Linked DNA regions of Coturnix japonica. The protein of the gene in region 1 interacts with the protein of each later gene in a biochemical or structural test. Links are inferred from orthologs where the notes say so. Each region holds a gene or a part of one and is shown in the gene's direction. Other genes may lie near its edges.

The links.
Region 2: the proteins of UBA6 (region 1) and UBE2G2 form a complex in vitro, tested with the Homo sapiens proteins (2 studies listed by BioGRID, with this or other methods). The link is inferred for Coturnix japonica from reciprocal best matches to the Homo sapiens genes UBA6 and UBE2G2.
Region 3: the proteins of UBA6 (region 1) and UBE2T form a complex in vitro, tested with the Homo sapiens proteins (2 studies listed by BioGRID, with this or other methods). The link is inferred for Coturnix japonica from reciprocal best matches to the Homo sapiens genes UBA6 and UBE2T.

Annotation. Positions count from the first base shown.
Region 1 is NC_029519.1:46,073,960-46,077,485, reverse strand, and holds part of UBA6 (ubiquitin-like modifier-activating enzyme 6), read left to right. Parts: intron 1-444; coding exon 445-550; intron 551-1,214; coding exon 1,215-1,304; intron 1,305-1,409; coding exon 1,410-1,490; intron 1,491-2,055; coding exon 2,056-2,184; intron 2,185-3,030; coding exon 3,031-3,082; intron 3,083-3,178; coding exon 3,179-3,242; intron 3,243-3,526. UniProt on the Homo sapiens protein: Activates ubiquitin by first adenylating its C-terminal glycine residue with ATP, and thereafter linking this residue to the side chain of a cysteine residue in E1, yielding a ubiquitin-E1 thioester and free AMP.
Region 2 is NC_029524.1:3,986,465-3,990,480, forward strand, and holds the start of UBE2G2 (ubiquitin-conjugating enzyme E2 G2), read left to right. Parts: upstream 1-1,208; 5' UTR 1,209-1,290; coding exon 1,291-1,333; intron 1,334-4,016. Other genes in the region: small ubiquitin-related modifier 3, read left to right, coding at 390-452. UniProt on the Homo sapiens protein: Accepts ubiquitin from the E1 complex and catalyzes its covalent attachment to other proteins. In vitro catalyzes 'Lys-48'-linked polyubiquitination. Involved in endoplasmic reticulum-associated degradation (ERAD).
Region 3 is NC_029541.1:1,472,091-1,476,323, forward strand, and holds UBE2T (ubiquitin-conjugating enzyme E2 T), read left to right. Parts: upstream 1-1,408; 5' UTR 1,409-1,528; intron 1,529-1,649; exon of another isoform or gene 1,650-1,681; intron 1,682-2,072; 5' UTR 2,073-2,092; coding exon 2,093-2,201; intron 2,202-2,404; coding exon 2,405-2,474; intron 2,475-2,695; coding exon 2,696-2,801; intron 2,802-3,186; coding exon 3,187-3,285; intron 3,286-3,478; exon of another isoform or gene 3,479-3,502; coding exon 3,503-3,586; exon of another isoform or gene 3,587-3,915; coding exon 3,916-4,032; 3' UTR 4,033-4,205; downstream 4,206-4,233. UniProt on the Homo sapiens protein: Accepts ubiquitin from the E1 complex and catalyzes its covalent attachment to other proteins. Catalyzes monoubiquitination. Involved in mitomycin-C (MMC)-induced DNA repair.

The DNA of each region.
Region 1 (3,526 bases):
CTGGACTAGCTGATTTTTAATGGTCCCTTCCAACTCAAATGATTCCATTTAAAATAAATAAATAAATAAATTTCAAAAACCTCTCTGCCTCTTCATGTGACAGAGGTCTTCTGACTGACTTGGAAATAAATAGCTGTCAAGGGCTGTTGGAGATGGAGAATGCTGTCGCAGTCTTCAGATTGAATTACTTATGCATGGGAATGTGTACTTAAATTTCAATGTGAAAATCCCTATTTATAAAATGAATTATTGATTGGCTTTGGTTTATGGTGCCCTGATCTAACTTGAAGTGACTCTTCTTATTTAACCTGTTCTTTTCTTGAGTTTAAGCTTTCCACTGTTCTGAAAGGTCCTTGTGTCCATTTGGGTTGTGCTCTGGTGATGTCTGCAAAGCAGATGTAGAGATAACTCTGTATTCTCATTATCTGTGTCTTTCCATATCAGTCGTTGTGTAGCAAACTTGCGTCCTCTGTTAGACTCTGGAACCATGGGAACAAAAGGACATACAGAAGTTGTTGTGCCTCATCTCACAGAGTCGTATAATAGTCACGTAAGTAGTTCATGGCTATCAACTTCTGCAGCTAGTCCCCTAAAGCTCCCTTCAAAGTAAGAATGCAAGCTGATTTTGTGTTTGTGGTTTTCTTTCTTTGAGCTATTTTCTGCCTGTTTGTTCTGTTTTTGGTGATTACCATCTCCAAAGGCAGGCAGGAGAAACGCGAGTCTCAGTAGCAGGCATTAGTCTGCATGTTTGTACAAAGATACGTATCAGCTCTTTGTAAATGGAGGAAGTTAACCTCAAACTCTTGCAGTTTTCCACGACTTGGGTTCCTATGAAGGTTGTGCCATTTGCCATGTAGTGCTGATGTTGACAATCGTTACAGCTTTACTATAGTTGATGGAAAAATGTTTCTGGCTTTGCGAGATAGGGTGGTTTTTACCTTGCAAGTGTGCATAAGTGTGAGCTGCACACCCTGGATAAACTGGCTGGCAATTACTTCTGCTGCTTGTACATTAGGGTTGAGTTTTACTTTCTGTGTTCAGATTCTTCTTTGTAAAACAAAATTTGTTTTATGCTTCTTTGTTTAGGCTTAAAAAAAGCTTCCTTGTATTTTGTAATAGTGGTGTGGGAAAGTTGCGTAGTCTTTAAGTTCTTGGTCCTGTGATTGATAACCAACTTTAAGTCTGCCCTTACATACAATTCCCCTTAAATATAGCGGGATCCACCAGAAGAGGAAATACCTTTTTGCACCTTGAAGTCTTTCCCAGCTGCCATTGAACATACAATACAGTGGGCAAGAGATAAGGTAAGGAAATAAGTTTACATGCTTTTGAAATGACTGTTTATTTGAAAAGGTGAGGTATTTGAGGTACTTAGTGTTCAATGCCCTATTGTTCTTTGTATTTTCTAGTTTGAAAGTTTGTTTTCTCACAAGCCTTCATTGTTCAACAAGTTTTGGCAGACCTATCCATCTGCAGAAGAAGTTTTACAGGTAGGAGAATGTTGCCTGGATATAACAGAGTTTGAACTAATGCTTTAAGGATTTTGTTTCCATTTATGTTAAGTACGGTTTGGTTTGTTTGCTGACATTGTTCAGATTTTCTGAAGGCTTATTTAGCCAAGGCATTTGTTGATGTTTCATGGGATCTTACTGCTGTTAGTAAGAGCTTGTCTTGTGTGTGGCCTGTTTCTCTAGCTCAGGGATTCTGTCTGTGATACAGGAATTAAAACCTGAGGGATTGTTAGCAAGAACAGTCAGTGTCATACAGATGTGCAGACAGCTGGGAAAAAATGAAGATGTACTTCTGAGTGAACTTGACTACCTAATAGATTAAACACTTATCTGCCTTTCTCTATGATGGCTATTGGTCATTCAGGCAAGGTGGAAGTAGAACAAGTAGACAACAGCTCTGTGGAAAACTCGGAGGGAAGGGATCACACGAAGGTTAATGTTCACAAAGCAACCTGCCATGTCCTTTTACCTGCAACTCAATAAGATCTGTTAGACTTTTACGTCTAACCTTTTTAAATATTCATTTATTTCCTTCTGTTTCTAGAGGATAAAATCAGGGGAGAGTTTAGAAGGCTGCTTTCATGTTATTAAAACACTCAGCAGAAGACCCCGAAATTGGACTCAGTGTGTGGAACTAGCAAGAGTAAAGTTTGAGAAGTATTTTAGCCACAAGGTAGGTAGCCAGGCTGTGGAAGTGGGGCACCTGTGGACTGACAGGGATGTGGTATCCCTGAATAAATAGTTTTCCAAGTCTTTGCACTTGTTTCCTTCTCCATTAATAACAAGCTTTGCTTCAAATCTAAATCTGCTGCAAAACTCTTCTTACTGTAGAGTTTTTTTGGAGGAGTTTTTTTCTTTTTAGACTGCTCTGTTAACATCCTAATAGCTCTATAATACCTCTCTTTATCTCCCACTAAACTTTGTGTTACTCAGCTCTTCGTATTTGTATCCTTGATTTTTCTTAAAGCTATCACAGAAAGATTGACTGAAATATGGGCCAGGCATTATTCAAGTGTGATCCACAGTGTTGCTTCAAATGTGTTTGGGGGAGGATGGGAGGAATTCTGTGATAAAGAAGTGTATATTAGTAAACATACCACATCTGTGTTGTGATGACAGTTATTAGGTTTTGAAAATGTTGCTTTCCCAGTTATGAATTTGTATTCCAGAATCCTGTAGGTGTAATAAGGTTGGGGAAACACTCTGCTTATTGTATTTAGTATTCTGCTTGGAGCTGGGACTGGTGAAATCCCATCTACCATCTCACACGTGGTGACAGTGTCATCTTCATCCCATGGATGATTAAATCATTCTGTCTACATGTACTTGTGTCTTTAAGCTCTCTGTCCTGATTCAGGTACCTTAGGTTTTCTTAACTCTTTAAATGACTTGTGGTTAACACTGGAGAGCCTTGAAAGATGTATAAAGATTTCATGTTATTACTAAAAAGGGGTTTTTTGATTCTGTGATGTTGTGTCGGTCTGACAAACTGCTAAAGCCACTCTGTCTTTCTTTCTAGGCTCTTCAACTTCTTCATTCATTTCCTCTTGATACACGATTAAAAGATGGAAGTAAGTACAAATACCTCTGTGTGCCTCCTGTGAATTCACGGCACGTATCATGTGTTGCTGTTCTAGGACTTCATCTTAAGTCTGTCTTCTAACCAGGTTTGTTCTGGCAGTCACCAAAGAGGCCGCCTTTCCCAGTGAAGTTTGATTTTAATGATCCTTTGTAAGTATTACTCTGCATTTTAAAATACCCTGTGAAGCTACCCCATTGTAGAGCCAGTAGCATTATAGCACTGCAAGTTGGACTGATATTTGATGGGTATTAATGTAATGGGTACTTATACAGTGTCAGACTGTGTGAACCATCTTAAACTTTCACTGCCGGTAATTTAACCCTAACTAACATGAAATCAGAGGGGGTGCTATGGGAAGTTCTGACAATATCTGTCTAGCATGAGAAAGGTTAGAACAACACTTTCTGTTTACTGTGTCTTGACTGCAGGGGTT
Region 2 (4,016 bases), on another chromosome or scaffold:
GCTTCTTCTTCAGTCTCTTCCATATGTGTTTTATGCTGGCTGGGGTGGGAGATGTGCATGAACAGATGGTGCCAAACACACTGGCACCTGTGTGCTGCTGTGGGCAGGACCTGGAGGGAGTGCTGAGCTCTTCAGCTCTGTCCCATGTCTGGATACAGCCAGGACTAAAGCTGGGTGCTGTAGCTGCTGCCAGCTCAGTCAGCGCTCAGAATTTAAGGGTTTTCTTGCATTGACGAGGCCTGAGGTGAGGAACAGAAGAAACACATCTGAGTTGGTTGCTTTTAGATGGCTGGGTTCTGAGTCTGCTTTGAAATAGAGATCTCAAAACCTGTGTAACTCTATTATAAGTTTATGGTTGTGAACTCGTGTTCTCCGTATCACCCTCACAGCTGGAGATGGAAGACGAAGACACTATCGATGTGTTCCAGCAGCAGACGGGCGGGCTGTGCTAAGACATGGCATCCTTTGGAGCACAGAGGCTCCTCATCGCACCTCGCTCTCATCTGTCCTTGGATTTGCTATCAAATAGTGAACAAATGAACACGCCGATCACACGGGATTCTCGGAAACCTTAGAGGACATTTACCCAAAATCGCTTGTTGTCTTTGACGTACTGCGTGTGCAAGTCGACACAGTATCTGCAGGGATTCATCTCTTATCTTTAATTGGGCCCAGTTGATTTTTGAGTTCCGATTCAGTGCTACACGTTGTCTGTCTGTCTGCTGTTTCCTGGTTTATTCCCTTTCAAACCTGTGGCCTAAATAACCCTGTCCGTGTTTGAGGACATGGAGTGCATTCCTGGCTGTCAGCCCTGCCCCTCTGTTCCATCCTACCCTTGTAAATAAGTCTATTTTCATGCCGATCTCAAGCTTAATGAGTCTCATTGTTTTAAAAGAGGAGGAAGAAGACGCTGATTGAAGTCGCTGGGAAACGTGAAGCCCACGACACGAGGTCTGTACGTGCGAGACGCAATGCTCCGTATAGACAGTTTGGAAGATTGCAGATTGACATGTGCTTTGTCATGATTTGATAAAGTTGTCTGAAATATACTTTTTTAATGCACAAACGAGAAGTGTCCTGAATGGAAGGGGGGGGGTGGGGTGAGCAGAGCAGCTGGGCTGAGAGGGCCCGCCCACAACTCGCTGGTGCTACTGCGCATGCGCTGGGAGGACTCAGCCCCCCCCCCCCCCCCTTTACCATAGAGGCGGAGTGCTAGCGCGCCCCCTATCTACTTCCTCCCCTCCAGCCCGCCCGGAAGCGGCGCGGGGCCGGGGCGCTGCGGGCCGCGCTATGGCGGGTACGGCGTTAAAGAGGCTGATGGCCGAGTATAAACGTGAGTAGCGGGGCGGGGCTGGGGACTATGGGGACGGCTGGGTGTGGGGCTGAGCGTGTTTGGGGTGGGGGTGGGGGGGCTCGGCCCAGAGCACAGGAGCTGAGCGGAGGCCTCGTGGCAGCTGCAGCTCATAGGGAGCAGATGGGCAGCGCTGAGCTCAGCTCGGTGTGACAGCGACAGGGCCCGAGGGAACGGCATGGAGCTGTGCTGGGGAGGGGGCACCGACAGGGTGTGACACAGCTCCGTGTACAGCTCCATGTACAGCTCCATGCACAGCTCCGTGTACAGCTCCATGCACAGCTCCATGCACAGCTCCGTGTACAGCTCCATGTACAGCTCCATGTACAGCTCCGTGCACAGCTCCGTGTACAGCTCCATGTACAGCTCCATGTACAGCTCCATGTACAGCTCCATGCACAGCTCCATGCACAGCTCCGTGTACAGCTCCATGCACAGCTCCATGTACAGCTCCATGCACAGCTCCATGCACAGCTCCATGTACAGCTCCATGCACACCTCCGTACACAGCTCCATGTACAGCTCCGTTGCACAGCTTCCGTGCCACAGCTCCGTGCACGCTCATGCACAGCTCGCATGGTACAGCTCCCATGCACAGCTCCATGTACAGCTCCATGTACAAGCTCCATGTACAGCTCCATGCAGCAGCTCCATGTACAGCTCCATGCACAGCTCCATGTACAGCTCCGTGTACAGCTCCGTGTACAGCTCCATGCACAGCTCCATGCACAGCTCCATGGCAGTGGGCACAACTTACTGACATCTGAACACAAAACCCAAAACGACTCAAAAAGATGGGAGCATTTAAATGCAACTTAATGAGGAATGGCCTCACAGAATCACAGAATGTCCCGGGTTGGAAGGGAGCTCAAGGATCATGTAGTTCCAACCCCCTGCCTGGCAGGGGGCCACCAAACATACACCTTTACTAGATCAGGTTGCCCAGGGCCCCGTCCAACCTGGTCTTGAACACCTCCAAGGATGGGGCATCCACAACCTCCCTGGGCAACCTGTTCCAGGGCCTAACCACTCTCCTAGTAAAGAACTTCCCCCTAACATCCAACCTAAATCTTCCCTCTTTTAACTTAAAACCATTTCCCCGTGTCCTGCTATTGTCAGCCCTTTCGAAGGGAGTAAACTCTTTGTGTAAAAGCTGGATGAGCTGTGGTTTGCAGACAGCAAGGCCGGGGGAGCCGCTGCTGCTCACACCCCGCCAGAGGGAGCCGGGAGTCTGGCTGGAGATGACTGGCTGCTCCATGCTCATTGCTCTGCAGGGATGTGGAGCGGGTTCTCACTTTGCTTTGGTGGATGGCTTCAGCCTGTACCAGACAGAGTATTTCTGGGTACGTGTTTTCAGACAAAACCCTATGCTCGATCTTGGGGCATCCTGCAGGGCATGAGCTCTAACCCATCTGATTCACCATTCACCATCTGACCTGCTGATGTAGTGTCCTTGTCACTGTGCTTTTCTCTGTTGTCATCCCAAAGCACTGACCTGAAAACCAGCCGTAGCAGGACTTGTCTCTGCTCCTGTCTGCTCTCCTGTGTAAGTCCCCTCTGTCCCTCAAATAGTTCTGCTACGTTATGGTTGGGAAGCTCCATGATCTTACTAAAATGCTATAGGCAAATGAATTGCTAAGAGAAAACTGATATTAACTAAATAACATTGAAAAGGATGTTACTTAATGCTACAGGCAGACATTGCGTGGATCTTCCTTGCATCGTGTCCTGATGCAGCATTTGACATGACCCGAGATAACATCTTGTTTACTATTCTCCTTTATACTTTCCCAACAGTAGTCGGATAGAGCGTTGTGAAAGGCAAAAGCAACACGCTGTGACTGAGGGCACAGTGCTCCTACAGACCTGAATTCCTGAAGTAAAGCAGAGCTTCCAGTTCTCCTGGTCACCTGCACGGCCCTGTGTTGTCTTCACGGCTGGTGTCGTGTATTTAGTGGGTGCTCTTGCCCAGCCTCACCACCAGACTGCCCAGCTCCTCCCTGGTGCTTCCCAGCAGGTTGCCAAGCTGCAGCCTTACAGAATTTGCTCTGCTCTCAGTTTTCTTCCTTCTTTCTTTCCTCTTCCCTCTGTGTGTTTCTGGTTGTGATGGAGATGTGTGGCAGTCGGTGCCTTTCTGGTGGTGACATTTTGTTTACCAGATTGCTGATTCTTACTTTTCCTTCTGGAGGATATATTTGTTAGAATCTAAATTTAGAATGTTTAATAGTATTAAAACCTAAAATTAACATCTCACTAGGAGCTTATGCTTGCAAGACTTAAGGAAACCTGCTGCTTCTGCCTTTACCATTTCCTTGCTGCATGCTCTTGAAGGTATCTTGTATGTTTTAAATCTAAAATGGGTTACTTGGGAAATACTCAGTTGAAGCTGTAGGTGCACAGAACGTGCAGTGTTTGGTCTCTTGTAGCTTACAGAAAAGCAAAGAGGGAACCGAGTAGTGGGTTGTTACTCTGTCAGGAATCAATAGGAGCAGCGCAGGGTTAAAAGCAGGAGGTGTGGATAAGGCAGGTCTGCATCACGCAGAGCAGCAGGGGTGGGGAAGTGAAATGGAAACGGAGGCGCTGAGCCCGTGTGCACCCAAATCTGTCCCATGTTTCCAGCAGAAGTGCTGCACTTTGGTTGTGCCAGCTTTTCCCTTTCATTTGG
Region 3 (4,233 bases), on another chromosome or scaffold:
CACAGGATGAAGCAATTACCTCTAACCTAAACCTACGCCCTCCTAAACAGCCACGGTGGTGACGCAGCTCTGCCAACCCCACACAGTGCCCACCACCCCAAAGCCCCCACAGCTGTAACAGCCCACTGAGCACCCCATAGACCCACAGCCACCAACTCACAGGCACTGAGGAGCTCACGGTGCACACCAGGAAGGAGCCCAGCACCGACTGCATGCCATGGAAGAACAGGAAAAGCAGAGTGCCAATGCCTGGGGTGCGCCCAGCCGGCACGTGGGGCAGAGAATGACGTGCAAAGCACAGAGCAGGGTGTCTGCAAGGGCTGTGCTGAGCACCACGGCCCCAACTTCAGGTTTGGGGTGGGTATAAGGAGAAATTCCTCCCTACCCTGGTAGGGTGTGGGGAGGGTGTAGGGACCTGGTGCTGTTATGGGCTGCCCAATGGGATCACCATCCCTGCAGGGGCTCCAGGAAGGTGGGGATGTTGTGCTGAGGAATGTGGAGCTGGTATGATGGGATGGGTTGGGAAACTCACGTGTTTGTGCAGCGATTATTGCTCATATATTGCCCTCTCACGGCCAGAAGAGCAAAACCACCAATTAAACACACATCACTAATTACTATAGAATAACCCTAAGCTGGAAGGGACCCAATAGGGATCACCGAGACGTTATTGCTGATCGTGTTCTCCTTCCTGGGAGCTTTTTAGAGGGCTGATATCCCCCCCCCATCGAATCGCGTTTCTACACCCCATTGGCTGCTCCGAAAGTAATGCCTCCTATTTATTATCGCGGCTATTCCAACAGCTGCAAAGAGCTCTCAGTCACACGCGCTGACAGAGCGACTTCACAGCTACAGAACTGCGTTTCCTTTGGTGCTGTACGCACATGAAGCCATAAAAACGTTGTGTCTGAGGACCTGGGGCTGCTGTCACCCCATGGAACCAATGCACCGCCCCCGGTTACACCGCGTTACTTCCCCGCTCCGGAGCCCTGCTCACCTCCCTCCTCCTCCTCCTCGGGCCCCGCTGTGCCCTGGGGTGACACGAAGAGCGACTCGACTTTAGGCAACGGGGCCGCTTATGCAACACACTGCGGGGGGGGGACACGGGGGGCCGGTAGAGCTGTGCCCGCCCTGCTGAGCTCCCATGGAGGCGGGGGGCGGGGTGGGACAGGGCCCGGCCCCTCTAACCCCTCTAACCCCATCCAACCCCCTCTAACCCCATCCAACCCCCTTTAACTCCATCCAACCCCTCTAACCCCCTCTGACCCCATCCCATCCCATCCCGTTCCGGAGCCCCCCGGTTGTGGGCGGAGTCTCCGTAAGCCACGCCCACATGGCGCGCTTTCCCCGCCACTGGGATGGGGGCGTGGCTTATTTCCCGCCAGCTGATCTCAGCCAATCAGCGCGCGCCGCCCCTTTCGGATTCGAAATGCCGCCGCTGGGTGGGAGGAGCTGAGCGGCGTCCAATCAGCGCTCGTATATTCGCTAGGGGGCGGGGCTAGAGGGCAGCGTCTCCTCCCGTTGCTGGGTGGGCGGCGGGGCTGGGGGGGAGAGAGGACTAAGGGGGGGGGGCCAGCTTGGAAGGGGGGGCAGGGCTTACTGGGGGGGGGGTGCGGTCACTGAGGTAGGCCCTGGTATATATATATATCTATGGGGTTGAAGTCAACAGGCCCCCATTGAAGTGAGTGGGGAGGCATAAGGGCCCTGCCCTATGGGGGGGGGGCCCTGGCCCTATGGGGGGATGCCCTGCCCTATGGGGGGGGGGTCCCATTGATCCCTATGGGGGGGGGGGGCGGTCCCTGCCCCTATGAGGGAGGGGAGGTCCCTGCCCTATGGGGGGAGGTCCTGCCGTATGGGGGTGGATGCCCTGCCCTATGGGGGGGTGGATGCCCTGCCCTATGGGGGGGTGGATGCCCTGCCCTATGGGGGGGTGGATGCCCTGCCAATGGGGGGGTGGATGCCCTGCCCTATGGGGGGGGGGATGCCCTGCCCTATGGGGGGGGGGATGCCCTGCCCTATGGGGGGGCCCTTAAGGCCATGTCCCAACCCAGCCCTTCCTATGGTTCCTTAAGGGCAGCCTCATACCCGCAGCATGCAGAGAGCATCCCGGCTGAGCAGGGAGCTGGCATTGCTGAGCACGGAGCCGCCGCCCGGTATCAGCTGCTGGCAGAATGGAGAGAGAATGGACGAGCTGCGGGCACGTAGGTGTTGGGGTTGGTGGGGGGCTTTGGGGGGGGATGGGGCATTGCATTGGGTTGGTACACGCTGTGCAGTGGGGTTGGATATGGGGGGGGTCCTCTCTAGCTGTAAGGAGTGTTACAGAGTGTTATAGATGGGATGGTTGGCTGAATTCCTATCATTCTGAATGCAGTATTTATGCTTGTGATATTGTTTGTTTGCAAAGAGATCATAGGAGCTCCAGAGACACCCTATGAGAAAGGGATATTCGACCTGGAGGTGGTTGTGCCTGAAAGGTGAGTGAGTAATGATTCTCTCTAATGCCAAGTGAATGCATTGATGTGAGGTCTTTCCTTCAGCCTCCCCCCCCCTGTAATTGTTATCCCTGGCTGAATGGATTCCATGTGTTGGATGTGTGATGATGGGATGTCACTTCGATACCTGCTGTATGGAAGGATTAATGGCATAACTGGGGTATGAATATCATGCTGTGTTTCTTAATGCTGATCTCTTCAAGGTACCCGTTTGAGCCCCCAAAGATTCGCTTTCTGACCCCTATTTATCATCCTAACATCGACTCTGCTGGAAGGATTTGTCTGGATGTTCTTAAGTTACCACCAAAGGTAAGATAGCGCTGCTTGGGCACAGTAAATGAGCCTGAGGAGGATAATGAGCTCCTTATCTTTTTCTTGTAAAAGCCTGATTGAATGTCTCTTTGCTACTGACTTATTTACACAGGAGAGCGGCTGTGGAGTTTTTGTGTGGCCTCTCCTTTGTTTAGGGATTAGAACATGACCTTCTTTGCTCTGTATAAGCTTCCAAGGCTTTAAGGATTGCGGTGGGAAGGCAGCCCTCTGAAAATGGGCCGGCACAGCCTGTGGTTCCATCAGTTCCCTCTGAGAGGCCTCAGCCTGTGTGTTTTCTATGGGGCTCTGAGTGCTCCGAGCTTCCTCCAGGCATCCTAATGGTCTTCCTCTCAGCTGCTTCTCTCCCCCTCTCCTCCTGCAGGGCACATGGAGGCCTTCCCTCAACATCTCCACACTACTGACCTCCATACAGCTGCTGATGGCAGAGCCCAACCCTGATGACCCCCTCATGGCAGACATAGTATGTGGGCTCCTTTAAGGCTTCAGGGGCTGTGGGTGTGGGGTGGAGCGTTGCCTTTGCTCAAGCAAACTCAAGCGAGCAACAGAATGGTGTTGAGTGACATGTGTGTAGCAGTTTGGGTCTGGGATCAGGAATCCTTCTGCCAGGGCTGCAAGAGGAGTTAATAACCCCCCAGTGTTCAGTCTGTTAATACTAAAGTCAAATCTTTCTCTTTTAGTCCTCGGAGTACAAGTACAACAAGCAGCAGTTCTTAATAAATGCCAAAGAGTGGACTGAGAAGTACGCGAGCCAACAGAAGAGGGTAAGAAATGGGCCTTCCTGTTGCAGCTGTGTGAATATTCCTCATCTAATTCCCCTTCCATGGCCACAGAGGGGGAGAAGAGGTGGTGTGGGGCAGCAACAATTGCTCCCTCCATGTAAATGAGGCATTGAATTGCAGTGCTCTCCCAGGAGGTCTGTAGGTTGAGCAGGACTGATAGAACCCCAAGATACTCAACCTTCATTCCGCCTCAGCTCTGTTCCTAAGTGCACATTCTGCTGTGCCTCATGCTCAGACAGGACTTAGCACAGCAGTGCTAATGGCTCCTAAAACTAAATGATTCACAGCTGTTACTTCTTATTTCTTTGGAGGCTTTGGAGGAGAAAACAAACCAGAGTGAAAGCAAAGCCACCAATGGATCTGCCATGCAGAAAAGAAAAGGGAGCTCTATCAGCAAGAAGGAGAAGCAGCCTCGCATGGGCTCCTAAGTGAGTTTAGTTCCTGATGTGGCTGCCAGCTTTGCTTTCATTGTGTCCTCTTTAAGTGGGTATAATCAAATAGTTTAATATGGAATAGCAGCAGGGTTTATTGTTTCTGTTTCCTAGCAGTTGGTTCGTTTGGTTTTTGAGATGTTATAGAAAATAAAGCTTTAATTTGCTTCTCTTTCTGGTTTGTAAGGCTTCCAGAGA